3 linked regions of the Rattus norvegicus genome follow. The protein of the gene in region 3 binds, or shares a complex with, the protein of the main gene of each other region. Links are inferred from orthologs where the notes say so. Each region holds a gene or a part of one and is shown on either strand. Other genes may lie near its edges.

Region 1 (7,651 bases), on a different chromosome or scaffold from region 3:
CCTCCTTTCCGTTCTCCTAGGCAAAGCAGGCGACACTTCATGCGTTTAGCTCTTTCCCTCTTGGGATTTTCCTCTGAGCGAAGCCAGGAGAGGAAAGGTCACTCTGGCTTCCAAGTACAAACTATCTTCCTTCTATCTTGGCTGAGATGGGATTATCCTTGGGTAATCCTGACACTTTCCCGTACTGACCCATCATGGGTGGGTCACAGTCTGAATAATTAAAATTATCATTAGCTTATGTGTGTGTGACATCTGCGAAGGTGTGCGAGAGCCAATATGCCCATGTGAATGTTGAAAGAAAAGTCTGTGGACTCAGTTCTCTCCTTTCACCTTTGTGGGGGTTCTAGGTATTAATCTCAGGTCCTCAGTCTTGTGTTGCAAGTATTTGTATCCACTGAGCCATCTCACTGTCACCCAGGCTGAATACTTTAGATACTTTACACAGCTCCTCTCGATAAAGACTTCCAGTATCCAGAGAGTCAGCCTGTCATTATTCCTATCTTAAAGACAGAACAATTGAGGCTTAGACTCTCTTAAGGCCATACAGTTAAGCTGTATGGCCAAGGATTCTGATCAGATTTATTTGACACAGAATACCCAAGCATTAAGCTTTCTGTTCTGCTGCCTCCAGGGTGTGCTCCAGCCATGCCCTACCCAGATTATAAAATGGGGGCTCTGCAGCACATTCAACTTCCCTGAATTGGTGTGTATGCCTTTAGCCTTTTTCTGTATTTTAAATATCAGCAACAATAAAACCAGGAAAGCTTTGCTTCTTTATTTTAAGTCTGAATCAACTTTCTGGCTTCATCTTCTGGGAGGAAGCTAAATCTGCCTTTCATCCCTTAGTTCTTGGTGTCCAAGCGGCTAGCTGCTGTGAGGACCATTCATTCTCCCAATTTCCGTTCCCCCATTACAGCTGCTATTCGGTACTAGGCCATCAGCAAAATCAGTAGGTAGAGGGGCAACAGGAGATTGTCTATCTGAGTTGTGTATGCTTCCAGAAGCGACACAGTGCTGATGGACCCCAAAATCCAAGCATAGCTGTAGTTCAGGTCTACTCCACTGTCAAAGATTAGGATCAGAGCCACAGAGATGATTTGTGCAAATATAGATGTCATAGTTCCCTCGAATGTTTTCTTAGTTCCAGGCCAGCGGATCTCCCCCATGGTGCTGCCAAATATGGAGGCCACAGTATCGCCCACACCCACAGCCAGGACCCCAGCATAGGGGACCAGGGCTCTTGCTCCTCCGAGGCTGCCCTTCTGTGCACAGGGTCTGGGGATCAGCCAAATGGGAAGAGACATGCCCAGAAGCAGGTAGATGTGCGTCAGGATGAGGGGCCCGCTGTCCCGTTCATCCAGGAAGAGGGACAGAAGGCTGCGCAGAGTGTGACCCAGGGGCTTGATTCTGAAATAGCGCACATACTCCAGGAAGATGAAGACGGCCAGACACACGGTGGCGGCCACATACAGCAGTGGCCGGTCAAAGATGATACCGGGGATGTAAGTGGCCACCACAATGAAGTGGAAATACTTTCTGGTAATGGTAGGAGCCTTGTGCTTCTTGGACTCAGAAGATGACCGCTTGGCATTCTGGTACAGCACCACCAGGCAGGCCATGGTGGCCAGCAAGGACCAATAGGCTAGGAGGTAGATGCGAGTTTCTGTGTAGAAGAGGAACTGAAGAAGCCAGAGCAGGGGGTTCCTACGAATGAGCCAGTGCAGCCAGGGCAGAACCACACCAAGGCCCAGCACACAGGTCATGAGGTGGAAGAAGATAGAAGAGGCCCAGGTGCCCGAATCCATGAAGACAAAGAGGGTGCTGAAAAAGACACCCATGAGCACCATCCCCACCACCACCACCAACAGGAAGAAGTCCACTGGGTCCCCCTGGCTTTCAGTCAGAGAGCGCTTGATGAGCTGGTTGAGGACGAAGCTAATGCCACCCAATACCAGCAGTGCCTCCCCAGGAGTGAAGCAGCGGGGCAGCAGGTACAGCAGGATCATGTTGAGATAAACGAATATTAGCAGGACTTCCAGGACCTCGATCACCTCGCCCACACTGAGCGAGTGCTTCATAATATAAATGATAATACCTCCGGCCAAACCCGAGATGGCACAAGTATTGGTGGGCACCGGGCGAGTAATGCCCAGTGCCAACACCGAGGAGAAGAGGGCCACTGCCATGCCAGTGGCTGCAACCACAATGCCGAAGCGCTCGAAGTATGGGTTCCCTGCAGTCAGGCAGCGCTCCTTCATGACCAGCCCAAGCAAAGGCATGACCATGGAGGCCGGTAGTAAGCCACTGTTCGCGGACATTCGGAACTGGAAAACAGCATTCCCCTGCTGGAGCAGCCGGTCCCACTTGTACTGGACGTAGAAGGCCTGCACTGCTAAGGCCACGGCGCACCAGGAGTATCGGTCCCACACTGCAGCGTGGATGCTCAGCACCACTGCGAACACCACTGCAGCCTCCGCCAGCACTGACCCGCTCAGCGCAAACCCAGACTCCGGGGCTTGGGGAGGGCACTGTCGGGTCATGTCTCTAGGCCTGGGTATCTTGGGAGAAGAAGCTTGGTGACTAGGGACGCCTTGGCTTCTGGAGCCCTCAACCCGCCAAGCTGAGGGGCAGCAATTTCACCCAGGCAGCGACCTTCTCCAGTTTCCAAAAGAGTGCTTCACCGCGGGCCACTCTGAGGCCTGGGAGCCGGCGCCCAGTCACCCTCCACCGCTTTCAACCTACGGTGTAGCAGATGTTTGCACTCTTCACCTCTTACAGGCTCCACTGCCACCGCCGCGGACTCGCCTCACACCAGGGCAGCGCCATCTTGACAGCCCCTTCCTAGCCACGCCCACCACCACGTGATTGAAAACCCAGGCCCCCGGTCTGGCGGCGCACGGTCACGTGGGTGCAGCGTATAGGGGCGGGGCTGGGACGCGCGCGCGAAGATGGCGGCTGCCGCCGGTGGGCCGTGTGTGAGGTACGGAGTGGGGCGCAGCGAGAGGGTGGGGGGTGGCCGTGAGGCGCGGGGTGGGAGCTGGGCCGGAGTTGGAAACGGGACCCAGCGGCAGTGACGGAGACGGGCCCGGGCTGGGTGGACGGACACTTGCCGGGGAGGCGGTTAGGTCCAAACCGTTCCCGCTCGCGGGGCTGAGGACACTTTTTGGAGCGGGCCGGCCGCTCTCCTTTCTTCGTGGTCCCTATGCCTCCTGTCTTCCCCATACACCCACGCTTCCTGCACTACGCTCCCTGTAGGCACTGCGGGATATTTCGGGGTCTTCTGGAAGATCCACCCCACCGCGATCCCTGCCTTGCTGTCCCTGTGCCCTGCACCGCCTCGGGTGTGCCTTGCCCACGCCGCGAGTTCTTCCCGCGAGCATCCTTAGTTCCCGCCTTCTTTTATTTTTGACTAATGCTGATATTGATTCAATCAGCAGGCATGCCTTCATCTTCCAAATGATTCCGGGTACTGTGCCAGGGTTCGGACACAAGATGAATTACCCCAAAACAAACATAGTTCTCACGGAGTTCGTTCGTTCTTTCTTTCTTTCTTTCTTTCTTTCTTTCTTTCTTTCTTTCTTTTCTTTCTTTCTTTCTTTCTTTTCCTTTCTCTTTCTTGTTTTTCTTTTTTGAGGTAAGATCTTTTGTATCACGTGCAGGCCTTGAGATCCCTGTTTTCTTTGCCTCCTTGGTGCGGAAATTACAGACATGGATTGCGAGAGCCCCACTTGCCTTTAAAGAGCGCTTACTAGCGCCAGACCCCGGGAAAGTGCCTTGCAGGCCTTATCTCATTCATTTCCCACAACTAGGAGACGCACCTCCTGTTACACAGGACTAAGAAGTCCAGTTCATACATAGTCAGTCCCCCTCGTCTGCCCCTCGTGATAATCCCCATGAGGATTCAGATCGAAGGCTCTAAAGCCTTAATCAGCCCTCTGTATGTATCCACGTTATAGATGAGAAGTGTCTTCACCTCTCCTCCTCCCCTAAAATGTAAACATTCCCTGTTGCCCGGAATTGACTCTGCTAGTTTTATTTGCTATTGTTCCCTGCTGAACCCTTAAACACCCAGACAAACATGTAAATATCACATTGCCTATCTCTCTCTACAGTAGCCTCTTCACCGTCCACGGGCAGCAATTTCTTTGGAGTTTTCTGTGGATAAAGTGTGATTCTTGTGGGGGCCAGTTTGGTTTTCTTCCCCCTGTTGTTTCATGCTAGGCCTTGTATCCACAGCTATGGAGAAATACTTGTATGAAAACTTTAAAAAATGAATTTTTTTTTTTCGGAGCTGGGGACCGAACCCAGGGCCTTGCGCTTGCTAGGCAAGCGCTCTACCACTGAGCTAAATCCCCAACCCCGAATTTTTCAAAAGGAAAGGAAAATTTTGACTTGCCAGCAGGCTTTTAGCTTTCTGTGGAACTTCAAACCTATCTTTGAGGGAGGGAGGACTTTAACTGAACCTAGGGTTTTTATTTTACTTTTGTTTTGAGGTCCTAGGGGTCAAACCCAGGGCCTCATGAATGCTAGGCAAGCACTCTAGTACTGAGTCACAACCTGAGGGCACCTAGCAGTAGGATTCTAGGTACTGCCTTGGTCTATTAACACAATGACTTTTAGCACTGAAAAGTATGTGTCTTAGCAGTTTGGAGTAGTGGGCTGTGTTTCAAAAGATCGAGATCTGGAGCAAGAAAACGTCCATCCTGGTTTTTGTACCTACTGCTTTATGACTGGTCTTAGAAGTCGCCTTGTCATTTCAAGCTCCTACTTCTCCAAATGGAAATCGTCTTAATCCTTGTGTGCAAGGTGTGTGCACACTTGTGCTTGTGGAGGCTGTCGGGTACTTTACTTGGTCCATCCTTATTTTACCAAGGCGGGGTCTCCCTCCCGATGAATGAATTTGGAGCTTGCTAATTCAGGGCGTTCTTTGGTCTTCTTATCAGATGCTTTATCCATTGAGCCATCTCTGTAGTCTTGTGTTGTTTAGAGGCGTATTGGAGCAACCATGAAACCTGATGATCTATGTAGCTGTGACCGGTCTGGCAGTGTGACATCCCCCCTGACCCCCCAGTCATTCTGTTGTTGCATTTGCAGGTGTGTGCAGAGAAGCCAGCACCAGTGGCACTGGAGTGACACTCAACCACACAGAATCCTGTGAAAGTCACTCAGAATGTGGCAGAAAGTTGGTTTGGACATTGGTATTTTGATGTCTCTTGGTGTTCTTCAGTTAATGTGTTCGTAGAGCCTGAGTAGTGCAAGGGTGTGAAAAAGTAAAGATATTTTTGGAAAGCTATTGCTGGACCTAGTGTGGTGGTGCACACATTAAATCCCATCAGGGCCGTGGTGGTGCCCACATTAAATCCTAGTAGAGGTAGGCTGATCTCTGAACTCTAGGCCAGTCAGAGCTACACAGTAAAACCCTGTCTCAAAAAAGTTAAAAGCTATTGCTACTGAGTTTAAGTCCTAGTTTACAAGAGAGCCTGTGCTTTCTGGAATCAGGTAGACAGTGGCTGTGTTTGTTTCTGTGTAGAATATAACTGTTTCTTAAAAAGACTGGATTGGGGCTGGAGAGATGGCTCAGTGGTTAAGAGCACTGACTGCTCTTCCAAAGGTCCTGAGTTCAATTCCCAGTAACCACATGGTGGCTCACAACTGTCTGTAATGGGATCTGATGCCCACTTCTGGTGTGTCTGAAGACAGCTACAGTCTACTTAAATATAATAAATAAGTAAATCTTTAAAAAATAATAAGAAAAAAGACTATGTTCATGAGAATAACTCAAGTAGCTCAGTGTTATTTTCCATCCAAAAGTCTTTAAAATGTTCTTTCTTGAACATTTTATTTATTATTTTCATGTCTGTGAGTACTTTGCCTGCATGTATGTCTGTGTATCACCTTTGTGTAGTGTCTTGGATCTGAAATCACAGAGGGTTGTAAGTCACCTTGTGATGCTGGAAATTGAACCTGGATTCTGTCTAAGAGCAGCCAATGCAGCCCCTTCCCCCCAAAGTTTCAACCAGATGGATGTCTCTAAGGAGAATAAGCAATGTCTGATGTGCTTTTATTTATTTTTAGATTTTATTTTATGTATATGTGTGTACACCAGCAAGAATTTATGTGCACCAGGTATGTTAGTGGCCACAGAAGCCAGAAGGTGTTGATCTTCTGGAACTGGAGTTACAGGCACTTGTGAACTGCTTGGTGTGGTTGCTGGGAACCAACCCCAGGTGCTCTCTAATAGCAGTCATCTCCCCCACTCCTCCCTCTCGCATTCTCTCTTTCTGTTTGTGCCATGGTGTGTGTGTGCAGGTCAGAGGACAGCCCCCAGAATTCTGTTTTCTCCTTCCATGGTTTTTGGTTTTTCGAGATTCAAGACAGGGGATCTCTGGGTGGCATTGGCTGTCCTGGAACTCACTCTGTAGACTGGGCTGGGCTTGAACTCAGAGACCCGCCTGGCTCTGTCTCCCCAGTACCTAAGTTAAATGTGTGTAGCACCACCTTCCAGACTCTCTTTTCATCTTAATGTGGCTTCAAGGATTGAATGCAGATCTCCAGGCTTGAGTAGCAACTATCAGCAAGTGTTTGTGCCCGTGAGCTACCTGGCTGGCCCTTTGCCTCTTAGAAATAAAGTTCTATGTTGTTTCCTAGAATTTTAGATTAGTGATCTGTATGTTTGTATATTTTTACATTTATGTATTTATTTATGTATTGTATGTATGTTGGTGTGTGTTTGCTAAGGAGTGCATGTGGAGGTCAGGAATACCTTGCCAGAATCTGTTTTTTTCTTCCACTGTGTGTGTGTGGAGGGGGAGTTGGTCCTGGGATTCAATTCTTTAGGCTTAGTGGTAAGTAACTAGGTAATCTTTACCCATTTATAGTCTATCGATGCATTAAAAAAACAAAAACAGGGGGCTGGGGATTTAGCTCAGTGGTAGAGCACTTACCTAGGAAGCACAAGGCCCTGGGTTCGGTCCCCAGCTCCGAAAAAAAAAGAACCAAAAAAAAAAAAAAAAAAAAAACAACAACAACAAAAAAAACAAACTTAGTATGTGTCTGTGTATGAGGGAGCATGAGTGCCGTGTCATAGCTGGTGAGCAGAAGACACATCCAAGTCAGTCCTTCTGCTCTACAGTCAGGCTGAACACGGCTTGCAAGGCTTGTGCAGCAAGAGCTACACCATCTTGCAGGCCCAGTCAGTATGTTTTTTAAAAAGTCACCTCTGAAGCTACACACTTGTCTTCAGTTTCTCTCCTGTCCACTTAGCTCAGATGTGGTGCACACTTAGTTCCCGGAGGATAAAGGTAGAAGCGGTTTCCCTCCTGAGCCTTTAGGCCGGCTGTGTGAGAACCAGCCTCATCTGTTGTGTCTGCGCACTCCCTCCCTCCCTTGCCTGTGGGACCGAGTCTTTCTTCTGGAGGCAGTTTCTAGTGCCTCTGATTCTGTCTTGTAGGTGTGTGTTCCTCTGGAGTCTGCATCGTTAGTATCAGCCCATAGTACTTCCTTTTTGCAGATTATGTAATGTGCTGTTGGGTGACAGACTTTTCCTGGGGAGATGCAACACATGCACCTCTACTCAGTATAGGAGGAGCCACAGAAGACCAAAGGGATGCATGCGCCAGTGCACAGGTGAGGGATTACTTACAAGGAGCAG
Region 2 (7,440 bases), on a different chromosome or scaffold from region 3:
CACTGTCAACCTACTAGGTGCCAAAGTGTAGTTTTCTAAGCACCACTGCCAGCTACCCAGTCCACTCCCATGTGGCCCTGGGTTTCCATCTCTCAGGTTCTAACTCTCGCTTTCCCTCTTTATCTGCACTTGACCTTAGATTGTTACCTAGCGAGTATTTCTCATTCTGCTAACTCTGACATCATAATACCAATACCTTACACTTTGTTTGCAGGGAGGGGTATGTGTCAGAGTGTGGAAGTCAGAAGACAGCCTGCAGGAAGAAGTTGTTTCTCACCTTGCACCTCATGGGTGCACCTAAACGTAGGTGTGGTCCATGTCCCTTTAGCCACACCCTCCGGTCAATCTATTCTTTGTCTCACATCACTTTCCATAAAATACTCTAACTAAAAACGCCTTGGGCCCCACTCCCAGGGATTCCAGTGAGACTGCTTCTGACTTCGGCATCTGGTCCCCAGATGTACTGTCCATGACTATGCCCTGCCCAGGTTTCTAGTTAACATTTTCCTCAACGAAAACACCCACCAATCTTCTAACAGCTATTTCATCCTTGTATTGTGAGACTCTGAGCAAGATAATTACTCCCTCTGCAACTCATCTTTGACTACTTTAACTATACCTCCCTCCCCTGCCACATTGTAACCACTGAGCAAATAATAGCATTAAGGCCAATTCAAGTCAACCCAATACTATGGTTTATATATAGTTGAAGCTATCCAAGACTCCAATGTGGCAATACTCAGATGTGATAGGACCTTTAAGGAGTTGAGCCTAGTGAGGAGCCCCTCCTTGTTCCTGCTCCCCCCCCCCAAGTGTCTGTCATGACACCTGCTAATTAACCTGAGTTAATTTATTCTGAAAAGACATAAATACCTATACGAATCCACTTGTTTATTCTACCACTATCACCCTACTCCAAGCCACTCCATGCCTCATCCAAGATCACAGTAGCTTCCCTATTCCTATACTGACCTCTGCTACCCATATGTTCTCTTCCATATATATGAAAGGGGGAATAAAGGCTAAGCCTTCAATAATTCCCATTACCTGTACACTCAAGTCCAGCCTAATGTGATAATAATTGCCCGCCTATGATCCCGACTACCCAGAAAGCTGAGGCAGGTGGTCCTGTAGCATATATGAGCTCTGTGTGTGCTGAGATCTCCATCATGTGTCCATGAATCAACCCTTGCCCTTCTGTTCCCACTCTTCCCCATGACTATATAACCATATGGCCTCCTGCTGGTTTTCAAATATGCTAAACTCAAGAGCTGTCACTGCCCTCTGCAGGAACCACTTCCTCTGCAGCTACAGAGCATTTGCCCCTAAATGTGGGCGAGGCCTATCCCCTTACTCAATTCAGGTCTCTGCTCACGGGTCTCCTTTGTGAAGATGCTACTAAGACGCTCCACATAAAGGAGTCCCACCATTTCTACGGTTTATCCCATAAGAAGTGCATGTCAAAACCAGGTCTTCTAACAGTGTCCTTGAGTCTGGCAAGCTTGTCCTGCTTTTTTTTTTTTTTTTTCACTGCATGAATTCCTAGTGCAATGAACAAAAAGTAACTAATACACCAAAGACACCCGAAAACTACTGGAGGGAGAAGAATAAGGTTATTCCTTTAGTTGACCTTACAGATCAGCACAGGAATGTAGAACAGAAATTTCTGGAGGTGCTTGAGGTTTTCCTGGTAGTCAGTAACTGTGTACTGGAGTTAGATTAAGCTACTATTTGAGCGCATTGGTGGAGTAAAGTGGCCTTTAGTCCTTACAAACAGAAGGCCGCTGACTGCGAAAAGTGAGTTCAGCGCAAGCGTGAGGATGCGAGTTTGAATCCCCAGTACCCATGTATAAAGCTGAATGTGGTGGCATCAATTTGACACCAGCACTGAGGGAGGGATGGACAGAGACTGGTAGATCTTGGGTGACTCATTGGTAAGCTGGTCTAGCCAATTGGTAGGCTCCAGGTTCAGAGAGAGTTGCTGTCTCAAAAAGCAACAAAAACATCCAACGCCAACCTCAAGACTCCTGACCTGGGACATCCACAAACACGCATGGGCATGCATCTCACCACCCCCAACACACACACACACACACACACACACACACACACACACACACACACAATCAAATGCATACAAAGTATAAAGCTACAAAACATTTCAACCTTTAGGTTATTTGAAACAGAGGAGAGAGAACTATAAGAGGCCATAAAATAAGGCAAAAAAACAAACAAACAAACAAACAAACAAACAAACAAAACTCCTGCATCTTTAAATTCTAATTCTTTCTCCAAACCAATTCTTTCTACTCGTCTATCTGATAGCTACTCCTGACTGATCTATGAGTGCCAGCGACAATTCTAGTTCCTCATCTTAGGTCCCCACAACAGTCAATTTAACCAGAAACCATCTGGCTCCCCTCTCCCCCGAGCCCAGCCTATCTCCAAGTTTACTTCTCATACCTCATAACGAGTCACACCCTCACCTTTCCTCTCTGCTCTGACCCTCATAACTTCCTCCAATTACCTCAACAGCCTAAAACTTCCCATTTCTTCTAACCCAGTCTTGCTGTGGCCAAAGTGGATATTCCAAAATACCTCCTACTTTAGACCATCAGGGGCACCTTCAACCTCAGGTTGTGACCTGGCTGCATGCTCTGTAGAATAGACAGTGCCATGCACCATCTTCGACTCCTCCCCAGCTGTACCCTGACAGTTCTCTATGCCTTAGGAAGCTCTGCATAGTTTCCTTCCTTCATGCTCCAGTCCATGTCAAGTACACTCACATCCTCACCAGACACAGGGAGCTCCTAAGCATACTGCCAAGTCAGAGGGCTGCTCTAACCTACCCAAAGGACTCCCTAATTATACTGAACGTTCTTCCCTAGTGGAGCAATTGCAACCACTTCTTCTCAAACATGTCTTCCTGTAGGGAAAGGTTCACAAATATTTAACCCTGAATCCTGAGCATCTAGCTAAGCCTGGCACACAACAGAACTAAAAATGTGTTTGCTAATTAAAATGACCAGTGACCATAACAGACTTGGGTCTTCTTCCTGATCTTTACTCTGTCACACACACACACACACACCCACACTTCTAAATGTAACTACCTCATAGGCCCAGGGGTTAGAGAGATGGCTCAGCAGTTAAGAAAACTTACAGCTCTTTAGAGGACCCCAGTTTAGTTCCCAGCACCCACATCAGTGATTTACAGCTAGCTGTCTGTAACTCTAGCTCCAGGGAACCAGACACTCTCTTCTGGACTCCATACATATATCCATATACATAAAAGTCACACAAGAAGGAGGGGGGAGGGGGACAGAGACCCCAAACTCACCACAGCTCCAACAGTTCATCTCTCATGGTGTGTGTGTGTGTGTGTGTGTGTGTGTGTATACACACACATACATACATATACACACACACATATATGTACATATGTATATACACTCATATGTATATATAATATATATTATATATATGATGTCTTCCCAAGAAACAAGCCTGTCTCATTCACCACCACATTCACAAGCCTATAATGATATCAATAACATTCATTTATTTGGTATTTATTGAGCACCTACTTTATTGTGTGCCAGACCCAGGTTCTAGGTAGGCGCTCATGTTCTACAGCGGAGAGACAAGACATAGGTCGAGTAGAACCTAAATATTGGAATACAACTAAGGCAGTGAAGACAAGGAGTGAGGAAAGGTTTACACTCTAAATGCCCCTCTAGAGCTGGCAAAACAGACATCCAACCACAAGAACTAAGACCTGAAGTCAAAGCATGTCTAGCAGTGGTAGCGGTGGGGGGGGGGGGGGGTGTAACAGACTCTGAGAATGTGGGTCACATTATTTAAAAGCCTTACAGCTCACTATGGGGGGGGGGCTTATATTATTGTTGTTATTATTATTACTATTATTACTAAAGCACTGACCTTTGCTTGTGCTGAAAGTCATCTAGGGAACTAGGGGTGGATGATGATGATGATGATGATGATGATGATGATGATGATTATTACTGTTATTGTTACTAAAGTGCTGACCTTTGCTTGTGCTGAAAGTCATCTAGTGAGGTAGGGGTGGGGCAGGGTCTAATGTAGACCAGCCTGGCTCCAACTCCCTTTGACAGTGACACCATGCCCGGCATGCTGTGATTTTCTTTTAGAAGGGACCCAATATATTTGGGCACTCCTTACAGAAGATAGGATACAGGGTACCCAGAAACAGAAGAGACAACCGGAGTGGCAACCATTAGCATCCTGTTGGATTATCCGTAAAAGGAGACAACAGTTGACAGGGGTTCGCTGGGTGGCCTCCCTTCACCCGGAAAAGCCATTCTCTAGAAGAACGCCCCCCACGACCCACAGAGGGCAGCCAGGCCTAGTGACGCCTGGCAGCCGTGGGTGGGCGTGGCGATAGTGCACCAGTAGGAAGGACCACGCTCAGAAGAGCCTAGTCACAGCACTCGGTGAGCTGTCGCCGGTCGGCGTGCCCAGCCAGCCACCACAAGAAAGGAAGCGCGAGCCTCGTGGCTACGAACATAGGATGGAGTTCGAGTTAGGCTCGGGGTTCTGCTTCGAGGCCAGACCCCGAACTCGGGCCAGGCCCAGGATCGGGGTCGCGTGGTCGCCCACGCCGCACATGCCTTACCTGGCTCTGCCGCCTGCTCGCCGCCAGCTCCCGGCTACTTCACTACGCCGCCGCCGCCGCTTCTCGCGCCGCTCGCCCGCGCTTCTTGATTGGCTGAGGCGGTCAGCTCCCAGAAGCCCCTGCGCGTTGCGCCGCCAAGTGAACTTTATGGAGATCCGCAAGAGAACACAGACGTGGGCGGGGCTGGGGCGGAACCAGGGGCGGAGCTGTCGCTACAAGTAAGTCAAGGGAGCTCCGCCCTTCTCCCGCCCACGTAGTTCAGGTTGACAGTACTTGAGAAAGCATTTCCGCAGTTCCCACAGCTGGACCAAACCAGAGAGCTCAGCTACTCGCTGTAGAGCTCTAGGCAAGTGCCTGGGCTTGTTCTAGGTGTTGGGGACACGGTGACTTCCGCAGCAGACAAGATCCCTGACTTCAAACGATTCTCAGCTTGGCCAGGGAAACAAAATATAGTGAATAAATACAGGAGTAATTAGGAGAGCTAAGAACAGAAAAGCAAATTAACTGAAGAAAAATGGTTGGGTTACCAAGGAAGGCTTCTCTCAGGTGACATTCTGACTAAAAGGTGGAAGCTAAAAACATGTTTTGGAGTTTTTAAGGGAAAAGTCTGTGTTTTGGCAGTCTGAACAAGCAAGCTAGGTTGGCCGCCTGCCCCAGTAGGCCAATTACAGAAAAGAACAGTGGTGAAACTTCAAAGAGATTTACTTCAGTGTAGCCATGTTGGGAAGTGGAACAAAGTGTGTCACTGGGATATATAAGAATCCTTCTGGAGGTTCTTAGTTTAGTAAGTAAAAAGAAATTTGAAAACAGACCCAGAAGGAAGACAATTTTGCTGGAAGTTTGAGAGAAAAATAACAGTACAGGCGGGTTGGGGATTTAGCTCAGTGGTAGAGCGCTTGCCTAGGAATCGCAAGGCCCTGGGTTCGGTCCCCAGCTCCGAAAAAAAGAAAAAGAAAAGAAAAGAAAAGAAAAGAAAAGACAAAACAGTACAGGCAAGCTACAGATCTCAGCAACTGCTGGGAGGAGAATGTGTGTGTGTGCGTGTGTGTGTGTGTGTGTGTGTGTGTGTGTGTGTGTGTGTGTGTCCTTGTGCCCAAGGGGGCCAAAAAAGGTCATCGGATCTGCCGGAGTGGTTGTGAGACATGGGTACTAAGAAGGAAACCCAACAAGTCCTTTGCAAGAGAAGTATGCTAAGCCATTGCTTCAGCTCCCATAATAGCGTTTACTTGTTAAAGAGGCATTTTTTGGGTTGCACAGTCTCAGACATGTCTAATCTTTCAGTGAAGGTCACCCACCTGACATAATGAGGTACATGTGAACACAGGCCTAGATAAAATTGTCACCATTAATAATTCTAGTTTGGTGGATGCCTGCCTGATAAAGTGTTCTATTAAGCTTTGCCTGATATGCTTAGGGAACCTAAACACACTTATCGGTCAAGGAAGCCCACAATAATTAGCATGTCAGCCGCATAGAACTTCTTTCTGCCTGCATGTGTATGTCTATACATTTGTGTATGTACATACATAAGTGTATGGGCAGCTATGTGCACACGTGTTTGGAGGTCGGAGGTCGCTGTTGCGTGGTTTCCTCTATCCCTTTCCACCTTTTTTTTTTTTTTTTGAAGCAGGCTCTCTCACTGAACCCAGAGCTCACCGATGGGCACAGATAACTAGCCAGTGAGCTCCAGGGATCCACCTGTCTCTGCCACCCTCCCCTTAGTGCTAGGGTTAAAGGGGCTTCCCACCACACTTGGCTTTTACTTGGGCACTGGGGATCAGAACTTAGGTTCTCATGTTTGCTCAGAAGGTACTCTACCAACTAAAATGTCTGGCCAACCATAAAGGTCTTTACTTTTATGACATTAATTAATGTGCCAGGAGACAGAGAGAGAGAGACAGAGAGAGAGAGACAGAGAGAGAGAGAGAGAGAGAGAGAGAAGAGATAGCTCTGTGTGTGTGTATGTGTGTGTGTGTGTGTGTGTGTGTGTGTGTGAGTGTGTGTGTGTGTTCCCAGGTCCTTAGACTTGGTAACAGTGTCTTTATCCGCTGCACCATCATGCTAGCCCCAGAAATTCTGTTTTGTTTTAACTTCATGGATATGAGGGTTTTGAGTGCATGTGTGTATGTGTTCTGTCTTTGTGGGCCAGATGCCCACAGAAGCCAGAACAGGGCATTGAATCCCCCTGAAACTGGAATTACAGACAGTTGTGGGCCAGCCTGTAGGTGCTGGAAATAGAACCTGGGTCCTCTCCAAGAACAGTGAGCACTCTTTATACCACCAAGCCAATTCTCTAGTTGCCCCCCACACCAATAAGTTCTTTATAAATTAACCCAGCTTCTATTTTTCCAGCAAAATTTAGAACTTTTGGCTCAGTGAGCTCTACAGCAGTGGGTCTCAACCCTCTACTGTGACCCCTTAATACAGCTCCTCACGCCGTGGTGACCCCCAACCGTAAAATTACTTTGTTGCTACTTCATGATATAATTTTTCTACAGTTATGAGTTATAATATAAATATCTGATATGTAGGATATCTGATATGTGGCTCCTAAAGGGGTCTCAATCCACAGGTTGAGAACTGCCAGTCTACAGAAATGACAAAAATCAATACTTTAGGACTTTCTCTTGCCTATGTAGGGAAGGGGAGTGGTGACCACAAGTGATCATTTTCTAATGTCTAAGGTGTGTCTCATGTACAATAGTAAATCTCATCTCGTCAAGCAAATAAATATTGGCCAGTGTCTTTGTTAGGGTTTTACTGCTGTGAAGAGATACCATAAC
Region 3 (6,868 bases):
AACTCAGTAGATAATTAACCTCACGTTCGTTCATATCAGTTACATTGCTTCGCCTTTCAAGTGCTGGGTTATATAGGTGGATCAACCACCACATCTGTTTGAGTGTATTTTTTATCCATTTATTTTTTTCTTCTTGAACTAGTCTTTGAATATTGGCTGGATTGAATAAGGAAGAAAATGTAAATTAGAGGCCCACTGGTGTCATCTGGTAATTGTATGGTGTATGATGTCTGTAAACTGGTGAAGAGTTAGAATTGATATCCCTTCAGAATAGCCTTTACATTGATCAAATCCTAAATTTGTATGGGTAAATTTACTGCTTAAATAAGTTTTGTTAGGTTTACTTATCTATGAATTTTATTTGTGTGACTGATATATAAAAAGTTTCAGATGTCATCTCATTTGACTGAAGTAATTTTATATTAACTCATCTTTAAAAAATATGTATACAGTTTTATCTGCTTCTCTAAACTAGAACCCAAAGTTTTAGATACTGCTTTTGGGTTTTTCCCCCTAGATCACATAATGGTTTATTTTTTTGAGATGTTTTATGTACCATAAAGTTAAGTATTTGATGCTTATTCATTAGTGGTTTTAGAACATCCATAGGCGTTGAGCCATAACTGTGTTAAGTTGTAGGACATTTTCATAATTTCCTAAACTTTTTTAATAACTGTTGTCAGGGTAATGGTAATGATTATATACTTGTAGCAGATACTATTGTTTTTAAAGCAGGGTATTATTTCATAAAATGGTTTTATGGAACTTATTACTTGGGCTCTTTGGAGTCTTTTCAGAGTTTGCTCTAATGTATAATGCTGCTGTAGACTTACTTAGGTACACTTTTGTGGGTATGAGTTTTTATTTTTCTTAGGTCTTTGCCTAGGAGTGGAATTGCTAGGCATGTTTTTAAAGAGACCAGGCTAGTTGTCAAAATGTCTCACATTTTGGGTTACTTGTCATTTACTTTAGAGAAAGTTTTTTTAGTTTATCGTTTTACTGTTTGTGCCTACACTCTTTTCCAGTCTCATAAAAACAGCTCAGTTTCTTGAAAAACATTACATTTGGTAGACTAGTGTAGTGATTACCCAGGTACTAGCTAATATTAGTTTATTAGTCATTAATTTTTTGTCGTATTAGGGTATCTTTATTGAACCTTCCTATTTTCAAGAGTAAAAAATATTATTATTAATAATTAGTCAAGCCTAATTGCTTGTCAAGGCTTCCAAGGCAAGTGCTTTACCACAGAGCTACATCTCAGCTTGTAAGAAAAGTACTAGTATTTTACTAAATTTGTCTCTTTCCCCCCTCTGTTTATTTTACAAATTAGGATTCTCTGTAGTAGATAATAGAGTTCAAACCCAAGAAGAGAATCTTGGTGCTGCACAAAACTATAAATTTTATTTAGATGTTAAATACTGACAGACATCATCAAGACCGTGACATGTAGTTGTCATCTGTCTTTGTCTTCATTAATCTAGAATATTTTTGAAAAGACGAGTTAGTTACTGTATAGAATGCACAGCGCTAAGAGATTGTCCTGGGTGGGTCTAGATTCTGGTTATTCCTGGTTATCCACTGAAGGAGGGTTGAGCTCATCTTAGGGCTCAAGTGGAACTTATCCTGTTTTTTTTTTTTTTTAAAGATTTATTTTTTATTTTATGTATATAATAAGTACACTGTCACTGTCTTCAGGCACACCAGAAGAGGGCATTAGATCCCATTACAGATGATTGTGAACCACCCTGGTTGCTGGGAATTGAACTGAGGACCTCTGGAAGAGCTGTCAGTGCTCTTAACCACTGAGCCATCTCTCCAGCCCTCTCCTGTCTATTTTTGATCCCATTAGCATTATTGAGAATTTTTGCCTCAAGCTGTTTTTGATTGCACTGTGGTAGACTTTTAGTTCTATTGTTCTTTTTCCATCTATTGATTGGCCCTTTGCTGTAGAGAATTTTCTGTGTTTAACTGAATCCTTAATTTTAGAGTTGCTTCTTTGATGCTTATCTTCCCCTGTATTTGCCTTTGAATGGATTCTGTGTCCTTTTATTATGCCCCATCAGTTTTGGGTATCTTATTTTTTTATATTGCAAGGTAATTCCGAATCTTGTACATTTCTGGTTCTCTGATAGTTCTGATGAGTTGGGAGTACTTTATATCTCAGATTCTGTCCTTGTAAAGTTGTCTATCATTTAGTACAGCAAAAAGGAAAGTTGTCCCCTAAAAGTCAGTGTGACCTTTGGACTAGTAGATGTGTGACATTTTGTATATATGCTCATATTACAGTGCACAGTGCAGTTGTGACCTTTGGTTAGCATTCAAACACAATGTCTAAATTACATATACCAAGGCCATTAGAAAATCAAATTTTTAATTTCAAATAATAAAATTTATAAGTAAAAGGATGTTAAGAGAGTTTGAATCTATGGATGTAGCTTTCAGTGGTGGAAGTACTTGCCTTGCATTTGATAAGGCTGAGTTAATCACAGCACTGAAAAAAAAAACTAAGCCAGAAATGCTCACCTGTGATCTCTGCACTTGATGGGTGGAGGCAGCGGGAACTAGATCTCAAGTTCAGTCTGAGCTGTATACGGAGTTCGAGGCACTCCTCATTATTACCCCACTCCCCAAATAATTGTCATTTTTTAAATAAAATCCTCATACTATTTTTTTCTTTCAGACTGTAGATGAAAAAAATATCTCAAGACAAAATAGAGAGCAAGAAAGGTAATGTCATCATATACTGCAAATGGATTTCTTTATATTTGTAGGGTTCATATTTACAATAGCCTTGAAGATAAAGAAAATTGAAACGTATACTTAGGTGGTGAGCGAGATGCTCAGCAGGTCAGGGTACTCTACCAAACCTGAAACCTGTGTTTAGTCCCACGTAGTGGAAGGAGAGACCTGACTGCCAAGAGCTTTCCCACTAACCTTCACAAGCTGCCCATACTAAGATCATGTGTGCTTACATGCCCATGAATGTATGAATACATAAATAAATGCAGAAGAAATTTCAAAGTATATTTGGCTATACCCTAATTGTTTTGTTAGCTGATCTGGTGTTTGAATATTTAACAGTTTCTGCAACAAAATATTGAAATTGTTCTAATTTTCTTTTTTTTGTTTGCTAGTGGCTTTTCATACCCCAATTTCAGTATTCCTGCAGCCAATGGTTTATCTTCTGGAGTAGGTGGTGGAGGTGGCAAGATGAGAAGAGAGAGAACAACACATTTTGTTGCTTCTAAACCTTCAGAGGAGGAGGTAGGCTCACATTTTATAGAACTTTGAGAGGGTCGGGGTGAAGTAAGGCCTATAGGAATGGGGCTTGAAGATTTGGAGTGAAGAGTATCGACCATTGAAACCATCCTTTCGACCATTGCTCTAATACCCAGCCCAGAGGCCTCAACTTCACGAATTGGGTAAAATAACTTTAAAAAACCCCTCCACCTTTTTATTTTATGTATTTTTGTATGTGAGATAATTCCCATCGACATTATTGGATTCTCTGGTTGCTGCCTTCGGGTTTTGCTTGTTTCTCAAGTGTACATACGATTAACACTGTGTACTCTCTCTGCGATGGTTCATGTTTAATGGAACAATGGAATTTACATTTCTCTGCTGTTTATCCTTTGTGCAGATTTACTACAATTAGTCCATTCTCTCATCAGGGTACATTTGGGCTGATCCCCAGTATGTGCTAAGGTGAATATTGATACACTTCTCCTTTGCCATGTGCAGTTTGGTCTGGAGGATATTTACCAGGAATGAGGTTTTTGGACTACAGGATTTGACATGTCTTTAAATGTGTTGTTGGTCTTGGCTATTATTCTCTTCACAACACTCCATGTGATCATAGATGGATCTTAATTTTTAAAATTTTTCCTTACTAGCATTTGGTTTTGGTCCATTTCTAGTGTGATAGCTAGAAAAAAAGTCACCCGGGCTTTATTTTGCGTCTTGTTTCATGGGAAGGAGGAATCTTTTGTATGTGTTTTGTGACCATTTAGGTTTGTCTTTTATTATTTTCCTATTAATTAGGATGAGTTCTTGGACTGGTGAGGTAGCTCTGGGTAGAGGTGCTGCTGCCAATCTGGTGACTTTAGTTTCATCCGTTCCCATGGTGGAATAGGAGGTCTGAGTCTGCGGGTTGTTGGTTAACCGCCACATGTGTGTGTTTACATGTGCACACACACAAACACACACAGAAGTAGGTAAATTTGAAAAAGAATTGATCTCTAGGTATTGTTTAGATATAGAACATAGAGACTAATTGAAGATTGGTTAAATTGACTTTCTGTCTAGAGATTGCTCATTTTATTTATTTATTTTAGCTACTTTTTGAGTTGGAACATCCCGTTTCAGTCTTCTTAAAATTGATTTCATCCAAGCTAAATCATTTTAGGCTTTCACCACCTTCTAAGATGTTCAACTTACTTGCTCCTTTAATTGGAATGTAGGGCTTTATAAACTTTTATGTGTAGGGGTGCTTTGACTGCGTGTTATTTCTTTGCACCACACACATGCAATGCCCATGGAGGTTTGAAGAGGGCGTTGCAGTCCTTCAAATTGGAGCCATGGATAGTTGTGAACCACCATCTAAGGTTGGGAACTGACTGAACTCAGCCCTCCTGCAACAGCAGCCAGTACTCTTAACAAGGCAGCCATCTTTCCAGCCTTGGGGACTTAATACTTTGACTTACTTGTTTCCAGTTACAATTTCTCATTATGTTTATTGTATTTTAAAGTTTAAAACTTATATTTCATTAATAGGGATTTTTTTTCTAGTATGTGATTGTGGTCACATGTGTGGAGACCATTGGACAGCATCAGGCATTGATCTTTGTCTTCCTCTTTGTTTGATACAGGATCTCTGTTGTTTGCTGTGTTCATGCCAGGCTAGCTGGCTGGTAACTGCTGGGAATTCTCATCTATGCCTCCCGGTTTGTTATGGGAGCAGGGGGATTACCAGATATTTGCTGCCTGTGGTTTTATGAACTCAGGTCCTCACACTGGTCAAAAGAGCTTTTTCCCACTGAATTATCTTCCTCAGCTCAGTGTTTGTTGTTTGAAGTTGAATTTAAAATCTGTCAGTGTTTGCTTTTATAGATTTTTGTGCAGTTTTTTCACTCCAATTTTTTCCCCTGGTTAGTTTTGCTTCTTGAGTACCAGAATGAAAACTCCAGCAATGTAACTTTGTTAGGATTATGCTAAGGGCTTTGGTTTAGTTGTCTGGGGGTTGTTTTTGCTTGTCACTGGAGTGTTGTAAAGGGACATGTTCTGCCTTTTTGAAAGAAAACTTGAGCTTTGAATGCCCTTGGTCATACAATATGTACATTTTGTACTTTGTATGGCATACTCATTTGGTTTTTTCCCTAAAAAGTATATTTATGTGTGTGAGTACACTGTAGCTGTCTTCAGACACACCAGAAGAGGGCATCAGATCCCATTACAGATGGTTGTGAGCCACCATGTGGTTGCTGGGATTTGAACTCAGGACCTCTGGGAGAGTAGCAGTCAGTGCTCTTTTTTTTTTTTGTTGTTGTTCTTTTTTTTCCGGAGCTGGGGATCGAACCCAGGGCCTTGCGCTTCCTAGGCAAGCGCTCTACCACTGAGCTAAATCCCCAACCCGCAGTCAGTGCTCTTAACCACTAAGCCATCTCCCCAGCCCTTGATTTGCTTTTTTAAAAAAATGTTTTAGGTGTTCCTGTATGGAGTGTGCGTATGTGGGTTGTGCTCTTGAGACATGTGTGGCATTGTTTCATAGTGGAGCCCTAAATGTAATACAGAGGAAGACATTTCCCCCATTTTAAAATACTTTTTTTTTTAGTTGGTGTGTGTGTGTGTGTGTGCGCGCGCACGCGCGCACAGTCAGTGTTTGCTATGGTGGACAACTTTTAGGAGGAGGTTTTCTTATACCACTCTGGGTTCTGGGGATAGAGCTCAGGTCGTCAGACTTCTCCAGTGTGCAGTTTTGCCTGCTCAGCCTGCTCGCCGACTCTTATTCTTATAAGATTGGAAATTGGTGCTGAAATTAGGTTACATGGCAGTTGGTGTCACAACTGGGAATTCAAGCCTTGTTTAGGTTTTTAATTCAAGTGCTCTTGTTAATTTTGCATGGGGTCTGCTTTCTTCATATTTAAAACTTGATCATAGCTACGTCATTTCTCTTTGAACATAGTAAAATAATAAAAGCACATGACATGACATTCTTACAAAACATGCTGTGTTTTAGGAAGTAGAAGTACCATTGTTACCGCAAATCTCTCTACCAATCAGCAGTTCTTCACTGCCCACCTTCAACTTTAGTTCCCCTGCGATCTCGGCTGCTTCTTCGTCATCAGTCAGCCCTTCTCAGCCATTATCAAACAAGGTATATAGAACCACTGTATAAGTGAGGTTATGTCTGTTTTTACTCTTTAATTTTTAAAAGTGGTTTTCACTATAAAAATCAACTCAAACTAAGAGAAAAATGGAAAAAATATTGGGGAGTTGGTGCTGGGAATTGATTCAGGGCATTTTTCATATTGGAAAAGTCTGTCTTCCACATCCCAAGAAGTGTGAATGATGTTTTATTTTTTTAAGTGTATGAATATATAAGTGGGAGTATTCACATCTCATATAGTCTATACTAGACCAAAGTTGTTCTCCAAACAGTATTTCTAGTTCAGGAAAAAAAGTTACTAGGCAATGTTTTGCTTTAAAAAAATCAAAGTGGTTTTTAAATTTAAATGGAAAAAGTGCTATTATTTCTTTGAGATAATCTTAAAGTCTATTTTATTGTTCATTCTTCTAAGTAGCTTTTTTGTGTGTGTGTCATTTTTCATCACTCTTTAAAAAACCAGGTACAGATGACCTCTCTGGGCAG

Evidence for each region. Proteins that work in one complex are often made in the same cells at the same time.
Region 1: Nup153 (region 3) and Nup188 share a complex: the UniProt entries of both Homo sapiens proteins name them as parts of the nuclear pore complex. The link is inferred for Rattus norvegicus from reciprocal best matches to the Homo sapiens genes NUP153 and NUP188.
Region 2: Nup153 (region 3) and Nup93 share a complex: the UniProt entries of both Homo sapiens proteins name them as parts of the nuclear pore complex. The link is inferred for Rattus norvegicus from reciprocal best matches to the Homo sapiens genes NUP153 and NUP93.

The regions. Positions count from the first base shown.
Region 1 is NC_086021.1:33,954,881-33,962,531, forward strand, and holds the start of Nup188 (nucleoporin NUP188 homolog), read left to right. Parts: upstream 1-2,931; 5' UTR 2,932-2,948; coding exon 2,949-2,980; intron 2,981-7,546; exon of another isoform or gene 7,547-7,606; coding exon of another isoform or gene 7,607-7,626; intron 7,627-7,651. Other genes in the region: Dolk (dolichol kinase), read right to left, coding at 930-2,540. UniProt on the Homo sapiens protein: Component of the nuclear pore complex (NPC), a complex required for the trafficking across the nuclear envelope. Required for proper protein transport into the nucleus.
Region 2 is NC_086037.1:10,789,218-10,796,657, forward strand, and holds the start of Nup93 (nuclear pore complex protein Nup93), read right to left. Parts: upstream 4,721-7,440; 5' UTR 4,658-4,720; intron 36-4,657; exon of another isoform or gene 15-35; intron 1-14. UniProt on the Homo sapiens protein: Plays a role in the nuclear pore complex (NPC) assembly and/or maintenance. May anchor nucleoporins, but not NUP153 and TPR, to the NPC. During renal development, regulates podocyte migration and proliferation through SMAD4 signaling.
Region 3 is NC_086035.1:18,204,573-18,211,440, forward strand, and holds part of Nup153 (nuclear pore complex protein Nup153), read left to right. Parts: intron 1-2,680; coding exon 2,681-2,727; intron 2,728-3,134; coding exon 3,135-3,264; intron 3,265-6,235; coding exon 6,236-6,373; intron 6,374-6,845; coding exon 6,846-6,868. UniProt on the Homo sapiens protein: Component of the nuclear pore complex (NPC), a complex required for the trafficking across the nuclear envelope. Functions as a scaffolding element in the nuclear phase of the NPC essential for normal nucleocytoplasmic transport of proteins and mRNAs.